2 linked regions of the Sus scrofa genome follow. The protein of the gene in region 2 interacts with the protein of the main gene of each other region in a biochemical or structural test. Links are inferred from orthologs where the notes say so. Each region holds a gene or a part of one and is shown on either strand. Other genes may lie near its edges. The genes, in order: ELANE and SERPINF2.

Region 1 (4,567 bases), on a different chromosome or scaffold from region 2:
CCCTCTGAACCCAGAAGCCAGGTGCTTAACCTCTATAACCACTGAGAATGGAGTATACAGGTGGTGCTCAATAGAAGCAGCTTTGGTTAAATATCCCTGCCTGAAGCGCATCCCCCAAAGTCTGGACCTCCTCCATCCTGCCCCACCCCAAGATTGGAAACAGGTTGTGTATGCAGCAGGCGTTTAACAAGTGCTCTATGGGATCCTGCTGTATAGCACTGGGAATTATATCTAGCCACTTACAATGGAGCATGATAATGAGAAAAAAGTATGTATATATGTTATGTGTAACTGTCAACTTGATGTACAGTAGAAAATTGACAGAACACTGTAAACCAGCTATGATGGAAAAAATAAAAATCATCATTGAAAAAATAAATAACATGTGCTCTATGGTGGCTGTAACTCAATCGAGAAGGAAGGGAGCTGAGACGGGCTGATGTGCCTCAGCCCAGGGGAGGGACGAAGGGTGGACACTGAGCGTCTGCTGTGTACTGGAGAGAGATGGGGGTTCACCTGCCTGTGGCCACACACCAAGGGGGCCCAGGGACAAACTGGACTTCAGCCCCAGCCTGCTTCTGGGCATCCCTGGGTGCCCCCGCCTGCCTGTTTCTGCAGATGGATCCGTTGGTTCCCTCCCCTGAACCCTGCTCCAAGCCAGGAGAACGTTGCTTCTTGCGACAGCCTTGGCTATGGCCGTTGCAGCTGGAGCAGCCGCCGGGGGGAGGTGGGAAGGGGAACAGGGGCCCCTGGGCTGGGGACTGGCCCTGACGGACCCCATCTCTACTGTTGGCTTAAGTTCTTCCAAGGTCTGGCCAAAGCTCTCAAACTTGGATGGAGAGCCATGGTCCAGCTGCCAGGCCTGGGTGGGAATTTTTTTTCCACTGCCTCAGGCTGGAAGTGGCTTCAGAGAAGCTCAAAGCAGGGGGTGGGGGTGTCCCAGAACCTCTGAGGGCCACCAGAGACTGAGCCTTGGGTGGCAGTGAGTTCCCTGTTAGGAGCCACAACCAAAGAAAAGATGGAAATCAGGCCCCAAGAGAGAGACCCAAGGCTGGAAGAGGAGGTAGCAAGTTACCTTCCTGCTGTGACCTGTGGACATCTGAGTTTGAACCCCAGTTCCCCCACCACATCACTGGGTAGGTGGTTTGCAGGGGCGGAGGGGGTGGGGATGGTGGCTCACTGTGCCTCAGTTTCCCCCTCTTAAATGGGGACCCAGCAGGCCCTGCCATGCCTCCCAAATGTCAGGACAGTGCTGGGGGGCTGCCATTATTACAGGGACCTGGGTAAACCAAGGCACGTGGGCATCCCAGCCAAGTCCTTTGGGCCTAGGTTGGGGAGATTTAGCAAAAACACAGGAAGCTCATTAATTCTGAATGTTGGAAAGATAAAGACTGACTTTATATAGATCAGTATATGCTGTGCAATATTTGGGATATACTTACACTTAAAAAAAAAAAAAGTTTATCTGACATTCCAATTGTATTGTGCGTCCTGAGTTTTATCTGGTGACCTTCTGGAGCCAGCCTGACCCCCTGCTCCCGTCCTCCTCCCGGATTCTTCCCACCACTCCCTCATCCCCCATATCCCCTGCACTGGGAGAGGGCGGAGAGGAAGTGGGGGCACCTGGCCCCACCATGGGGCAACCTCAACGGCCTCGAGGCAGGGGGGTTATAAGAGGGGCAAGGGGATTCCAAGAGCAGAGTCACTGCTGCCCCAGCCCAATCATGACCCAGAGCTGCAGACCCTCCAGCCCTGCCCTGGCCCCGGTCCTACTGACCCTGCTGCTGGGCGGTGAGTGGGGCCATGCAGGTCTCCTAAGGGCATCCAGTCCTGCCTCTCCTCTTACTCTGCACCTTCTTGGTCCCTCATCCTCATGGGGAGTGACAGTTGGGGTGAGGTGGGAAGGTGGGGGTCTCTAGGCACCCCCCGGGGACTCGAAGGTGGGAAGGTGGGGTCTCTAGGCACCCCCCCGGGACTCGAAGGTGGGAAGGTGGGGGTCTCTAGGCACCCTCCGGGGACTCGAAGTGGGTGAAGTCTAAAGCTCTAGCTGCGCCCTGCAGGGGGACCATGCAGGCCACTCCCCTCTAGGGACAGGGTGGCTGCCTTGTGGGGGTTCACTGGCCGACTGACCTTGGCGGGGCTCCTCCGCGCGGCTCACCGCCCCCACCGCCTGCGCCCCCAGGCCCCGCGCTGGCCTCGGAAATCGTGGGGGGCCGGCCGGCCAGGCCACATGCATGGCCCTTCATGGCGTCCCTGCAGCGGCGCGGAAGCCACTTCTGCGGCGGCACCCTCATAGCGCGGAACTTCGTCCTGTCGGCCGCGCACTGTCTGAACGGCTTGTGAGTGTACCCCCACCCCCGCAACCTCAGTTTCCAGTTTTCGCGGGGCCGGGGCTGGGGGCCTCGGCCGAGGTGCGCGGCTCTATGGGACCCCTGCGCCCGCACGGGTGACGACTCAATCGCCTCCTCCTGCCCCAGAAACTTTCGGTCCGTGCGCGTGGTTCTGGGGGCACACAACCTGCGACGGGGCGAGTCCACCAGGCAGAAGTTCAGAATCCAGCGGGTCTTTGAAAACGGCTTCGACCCCATGACCCTGCGGAACGACATTGTGGTTCTCCAGGTGCGAGGCGCGGGTGGGGAAGAACTGGCAGGTGCAAAGGCCCAGCTTAGTTTGGGGAGGGCGGAGCATGGGCAGGAGACTGGGGACACGGTGAGGACAGGCCTGGTGTCCCATCTCTCTGTGCTTCAGTCTTCCCCTCTGTGAGACGGAAATAAGTCAGATGCCAGGACAGCAGGGAAGCTCTGAGCAACTGTCAATCAATAAGGATAGTATTTCTGGAGCCCACAGGGATGAGGCGCAGGGACCTCTTGGTCCGTGGAAATAGGGTCAAAATTCTCCACGTTCATGTGAATAGGAGACTGGAGGGAGAGAACTGTCCTTCCCCACTGCTTGAATAGCTATGGTTATTTTCTGTAAAGTTCTAGAACAATGGCTTTATTGCTGGTGGTGTTACCCATAGTTTTGTTTTCTTGAGTACCTACTGTTTACTGGACTCAAAACATGTCTGGGGATGCCCTGGGTCACAGTGGCTGCTCGCACTTTACAAACAGGAAAGGGTGGGAACCATCCTGCAGGGTGGATATCTGGCTCTCAGATATCCCAGGACCATGGTGGAGCCCTGGGTGGGGGAAAACTTGGGGCCCAGAAAGATGAAGGTTGTTGTTCACTGCCTCCTGTGACCTGCCACTGCTCTGTACAACCTGCTGCAGCTCAACAGATTTGCCTTCATCAATAGCAACGTGCAGGTGGCCCAGCTACCTGCTCAGGACCAAGGCGTGGGGGAAGGGGTGCGATGTCTGGCCATGGGCTGGGGCCAGCTGGGCACGAACCGGCCACCGCCCCGAGTCCTGCAGCAGCTCAATGTGACTGTGGTGACAGCCCTCTGCCGCCCCACCAATGTGTGCACCCTGGTACCAGGCCGGCAGGCTGGCATCTGCTTTGTACGTATCTTGCGTTCCCACAACCCACCCCTTGCTCCCACCCAGGCTGCAGCAACCAAGACCCCTGGAAGAACTTCCAGCTCCTGAAGGGCAGTGGGTGGGGATGTTAGGGTGGGGCCTGAAAGCCCAGCCTCCCAAACTTGTCTGCTTCCACAGGGGGACTCCGGCGGGCCCTTGGTCTGCAATGGGCTGGTCCAGGGGATAGATTCCTTCATCCGGGGGGGCTGTGGCTCTGGGCTCTTCCCAGACACCTTTGCCTCCACCGCCAAGTTTGCAGACTGGATCAACTCCATTATCCGACGCTATGGTGATAATGACAGCCCGCCTCTCCACCCCAGGATCCCTGTGGGCAGGACCCTCTAGAAAGGCGGCCCCTGTTACCCCACTCCCCCCGGCTGGGCTCTTCCCATGCAGCATCATGCAGCATCTGACACAATAAAAACCCTGTTTTGTAGAATGTGCCTGGGTGTTTGTTGGTTGTGCAACTGAGTGTCAGAAGTCCTCAGGTGAATGTCTTGAGCATGTCACAAGTACGCTGCTACCAAGTAGCAGCAAATTTAGTGCACCAAGATAAAAAGTCCCTTCCTCATACTTCACTAAAGGATACCAGTAGCCGTTTCTGGCTTCCCCTCCTATAAAATGTCATTAGACTCTTGTTGCAGGTGGCAAGAATGCAAAGCACTATAGCAGGTGTTCATTCTGAGTCACAAGGATCATTCTGAATCTTTGCAATCTTCACTCATCTGTTTCTGGCTCCAGCCCCTAAAGTAGTTCTTATATAAGTGCCTTGTTTTACAGGCGAGGAAGTAGAGATGCAAAGAACTGTAAAGTCATGCTCCAGGGCCTGGGTTCGAGTCCCAGCTCTGTGACTTTGGGCAAATTGCTCACTGTTTCTCTGATTCTCAGTTCCCCATGGGGAAGACTGAGGCACTGTCTGGGGAGGACCCAATCAGGGGTTGGGGTCCAGGCCAGTCTCGGCCTCACTGGGTACGGAAACAATCCTTCCTCCACTTCCCCAACCTTTTGCCTTGGGACACCTCAGGGTCTTAACTAGTGCTGTTCCCTCT
Region 2 (4,396 bases):
CCAGATCCTGGCAGAGGCGGCTGAGCAGGTAGGGGAGGCAGGGCCCTGAGTCTGCATGCAGCACCTGCTGCAGCCTCTGCAGCGTTTGGTTCTGAGCACCTGGAGGGCACACGGCAGCTGTGGCTCAGGCTGGGGGTTCCCTCCCATCCCCTCTGCCCTCTCCAGCCTCTCTAGAATATCTACGGTGAGCTGACTCATGAGACCACACTTTCTCCTCCCAAATCCTGAACAGGTTGGAGGGCCAGGACCCCCGAGTTTTACCTCCATCTCTGCTGCCGCCCATCTGGGCAAGCGCATCTCGTTACCTTCCCTCTCTGGATGTCAGTGTCCCACAGGGAAACCCTCCAGCCCAAAGGACACACTGGGGCTAGCAAGCTCTTGCATAAAATCACCAGAAGCTCATCCCAGCCCCCAGCCCCAGGGCCCTGATTCAGAAACCGGGGTCTGCATTTTTACCAAATATCCACGTGACCCTGATGGAGGAAGTGCCCCCTAGTACACTCTGGGGTAGCGAGTTCCCCTGGCTCCCGGCCCTGCTGGTTTGGACAGGTGCTGCCACAGTACCTAGTGCCAGGTGAGACAGTGCCAGGGCCACACTCAGAGGCGACAGGACGAGGTTGGGCCTGGTGGAGCTTCGGGCCACCAGGGAGAAGAGGTCCCTGGTGAAGGCCATCATGGCCTGGGCCAACCTGCGGGTCTGCTCCGGGGTTGGGGTCCCCTTGCATTCTCCTGGGGCCTCGTTCAGGGCAGTGTGGCCACCATGCTCCTGCAGGGACAGGTTGGGGGTCAGTGGAGTCAAGGGGCTGACCCGGGTTTTGCATTGATCTCCCCCAAACCCCCTGTGCCAGGAAGAGCAGGGCCTCGTCCCAGTCCAGACTCAAGAGGGAGAGTCGCAGGGGCAGTGGCATTCTAGGCACTAGGTCCCCTTCCCTGGTCGCTCCCACCCCTCGCTCAGGCCTCAGCGCCACACCCCTCACCCGGTTCCTGGCCCTTGACGATCGGCCCTCCTCCCCCAGGCCCCCCCACTCTTCCCCAGCCCCACCTGCTTGTACCTGGTTGTCCAACTCGAGGAGGGAAAGAGGGGACAGCTTCTCCTGGCCCTGCCCGATCATCAGCTGAAGAAAGGAGGGAGCGGATGAAGAGCAACGCACAGGACTCGCCCCACCCCGCACAAGCCACAGGCGAGGCCCCTTGGGCCTTCCCCCATCACACCTCTCACCCCCAGTACCTGCAGGCCCAAGGGGTCCATGGCGCTCACAGGAGGGAGCTGTGGAGAAGGGGATGAGGAAAGGAGGGGGACCCCCCTCGAGCCAAGCCCTCTCTCCTCCCCACACCCCCTCCCCTTTCCCCCAGACCCCTGGCCTCTTCCCCAGCCGCCTCCCTGCCTCCCCCAGACCTCGGCCCAGGCTCACCACGTGCAGGCAGAACAAGCTGAGCACCAGGAGCCCCGAGAGCAGTGCCATGTTCCTGAGCAGGACAGGAAGCCTCTGTTCATGCCACGCCCCCACCCACTGGGCATCCCACGCACACGTGCACGGAGGGAACAGCGGCAGCTGCTGCGCACACGACCGGGGCACAAGCAGAGATTCTCCGCTCCGAGGTGAATTGCCTGGAACCCCTCCCCCAGAACTGCTTTTTCCCCTTTGCACTTCCTGGTTTTTCATATTTCATCCACTGAAAATGTTTTGGTTGATAGGGGAAAACACCACCCAAACCAGAAAGTCATCCTTCAAGGCTTGGTGTCATGAGTCAGACCGGGGTGTTTTGTTGTTGTTTTGCTTTTTTTTTTTAGAGCTGTACCCTCGGCAAATGGAATTTCCCAGGCTAGGGGCCTAATCCGAGCTACAGCTGTCGGCCACAGCCACAGCCACAGCTACGCGGGATCCCCAACCCACTGATCGAGGCCAGGGATCGAAGCCGCATCCTTGTGCATACTAGTTGGATTCCGCTTCTGCTGAGCCACGACGGGAACTCCCACAGACCTGGGTTTGAATCCAGGCTGTGCCTCTTGGCAGAGGACCAAGGACGTCTTCCTCAACCCCTCTGGGCTCTGCCTTATCTGGTAAATGGTGGCGAAAGTCCCTGCCTCCAGCCACATGTCTTACAGGAACCAACATCATCAGTCTTTGTGAGCCCTGACCGCATGGCCTGGCACTCAGTAGTGGGTACAGTCAGCCTAGTTCAAGGCTTCTCTTCCGGGAGGCCTGGCCCGAAGCCTCCTCTGTACTGGGGCTCCCTCCGTGGAGCTCCTATCCAACCAGCTGCCCATCAGCCCACCTTTTCTGGTGAGTCTGGTCTTGCCCACAGGGGTGGACGAGACGGTGCTCTCAGCAGGGGTGGTGGGCTGGGCCAGAGACTGGCCTTGTTGACCCAACAGCAGAGCCCAATGAATGACTGGCCAGAGCCACCTTTGGACTTAAGGGAAAACATGGGCCTCGCCCCCCAACTCTGCCCCAGGCTGGCTCCGGGAAGCCAGGCTGGCGGGTGGGGATGGGCAGGTCTCTGTCTGGCCTCAGAGCAGGTCTCACACACGCCCACCCCACACCCAGCTCCGGGCCTGTTCTGGAGCATCCTCTCCCCCCAGCCCAGCCCACACAGTGATCCCTGGGCCGGGGGCCCTGATCTCCAACCCAGGCTTTTGAATCTTCCTGGCAAGAAAAGGCCTCAGATTTTCACGTCCCAGAGAGACTCCCCCCACCAGAACCCCCACCTTGGCTCCTCCTCTCCCCAGGAGGCTGGGAAGTGACAGGCCCCCCTGAATAAACTCAGCCCAGACCCCCTCGGCAGGTGGGCAGCTCCAGGCCGAGCCTTCCCACCCCTGTACCTCTGCGGGCTCCTCGCTGCTGCACACGATGTCCCTCTGGCCCCACTTGGGTGCTCCCCACGCTCTGCCCGGGCTCCAGCCGCCCAGCCGAGCCCTCCCCTCCCACCAGGACCTTTGCTCTCAGCCAACCCAGTTCCGAGTGCTTTCTCTTCTGGTAAACATTGACCTGCACATCCGGTTAAACATTGGTGCTGGGGCCAGAAGCCCCTTTCCCACCAAGGCATCTAATACTGGGTCACCTGGAACCCCTGTGGATCTGGGTCCCACCTGAGCCGTGAGAAAGGGGGTTCAGGAGACAGTCGAGGAGGCTGTCCTCAGGTGGAGGGCAGAGCAGGAAGCACGGGGGCCTGCCGGTGACCCCATGAAGTGGGAGGTTATCCGCGCTTTGGTCAGGCTCGGAGATGTGTGACCTGCCCACGGACACACAGCTAGGCTCAGAGTGACATTCAGCTTCCTACTTCCAAGGTCCTTTCCTTTCCCCCTTTCCTCTCCCACACCCCTGCCCCCCACCCCACCCCCCACGCCACCAGAGGAGGGAAGGAGAAGCTTCAAGAGACTCACTCGGCAGGGAACCCAGGATAGGGCGCCCATTCCCCCCCTCCCCAGGCCCAGGATCCTGGTTGGCTGCCTTCTGCCTGGGTGGGAAGAGAAGCACCCAACCTCCCAGGACCCCACCTCATCAGAGCAATGCCTCCTTACCCTTCCCAAGGGTGAGGGTTCTGGAAACTGGCCTGGGCTGCGCGAACCAGAAGCCCTGAACCCTGCACCACCTGAGGAGCAGCAATCAGGCTGTCTCCCCAGCTCGGGCCCTACTTTCCCCTCCCTCGCTGTCCTGGAAGCTGCAGGGTCTCAACTTCTCCCCACCCCAACCCCGCCATCAAGAAAAGCCTCGCCCCGCTCCCTGGCTCTTCCAAAGGTTTATTGATCATATTTACATCTATTGCAAATAGCGAGAAGGCAGCAGGGGCCCGGCCTCAGACATCATCTCTGAGTGCCCGGGTCTTCCTGTCCCCTGGCGGAGGGAGACCTGAGGTGCAGAGATGACTCTTCTTGCTCCTTCTTTCAGGGTGTTGGACCCGCTCCCCCAGGGATTCTGGACCCCAGAGGCTGCCTCATCAGCTCAAGGCACAAACACTGTGGTGACGGGTGGGCAGGCACCCCCTGGCCCTGTGCATCTTCCCGCCTTTGGTCTTGCCCACGTCCCCTCATGGTCCCACACTGGGCAGGGACTGGCTGGGGGGACACTTACACCCCAGCCCAAGCCCCTTAACTCCTGGACCACGGCCAGTCCTCCTTAGAGGCTGGAGTCCAAGCACCATCAGTGTCCTGGACTGGGGTGGCTTCCCTGTCCTCACGGCATAGGGGCACAGCGAGCCCGGCAAGGGGGGACCGTGGCTGGGGACTGGCCAGGCAGGGGGTCTCCTGTCCCCTTCCCGGAGCGTCCTGTCCCCATATGGAAAATGAGGGCAGAGCTGGGGAGAAGTGGGGGCAGCGATGCTTTCCCCCAGATCTCCCTCCTGCTTCCTGCTGGCCCGGAGCAACATCGCCCCAAGCTAGGGGCATGATCCGTTC

Evidence for each region.
Region 1: of the proteins of SERPINF2 (region 2) and ELANE, one has a biochemical effect on the other in vitro, tested with the Homo sapiens proteins (2 studies listed by BioGRID). The link is inferred for Sus scrofa from reciprocal best matches to the Homo sapiens genes SERPINF2 and ELANE.

Annotation. Positions count from the first base shown.
Region 1 is NC_010444.4:77,513,159-77,517,725, reverse strand, and holds ELANE (neutrophil elastase), read left to right. Parts: upstream 1-1,607; 5' UTR 1,608-1,634; coding exon 1,635-1,791; exon of another isoform or gene 1,792-2,182; coding exon 2,183-2,339; exon of another isoform or gene 2,340-2,477; coding exon 2,478-2,619; exon of another isoform or gene 2,620-2,757; intron 2,758-3,269; coding exon 3,270-3,500; intron 3,501-3,656; coding exon 3,657-3,863; 3' UTR 3,864-3,957; downstream 3,958-4,567. UniProt on the Homo sapiens protein: Serine protease that modifies the functions of natural killer cells, monocytes and granulocytes. Inhibits C5a-dependent neutrophil enzyme release and chemotaxis. Promotes cleavage of GSDMB, thereby inhibiting pyroptosis. Promotes blood coagulation.
Region 2 is NC_010454.4:47,933,111-47,937,506, reverse strand, and holds the start of SERPINF2 (alpha-2-antiplasmin), read right to left. Parts: upstream 2,957-4,396; 5' UTR 2,825-2,956; intron 1,468-2,824; 5' UTR 1,464-1,467; coding exon 1,413-1,463; intron 1,268-1,412; coding exon 1,229-1,267; intron 1,116-1,228; coding exon 1,053-1,115; intron 767-1,052; coding exon 565-766; intron 100-564; coding exon 1-99.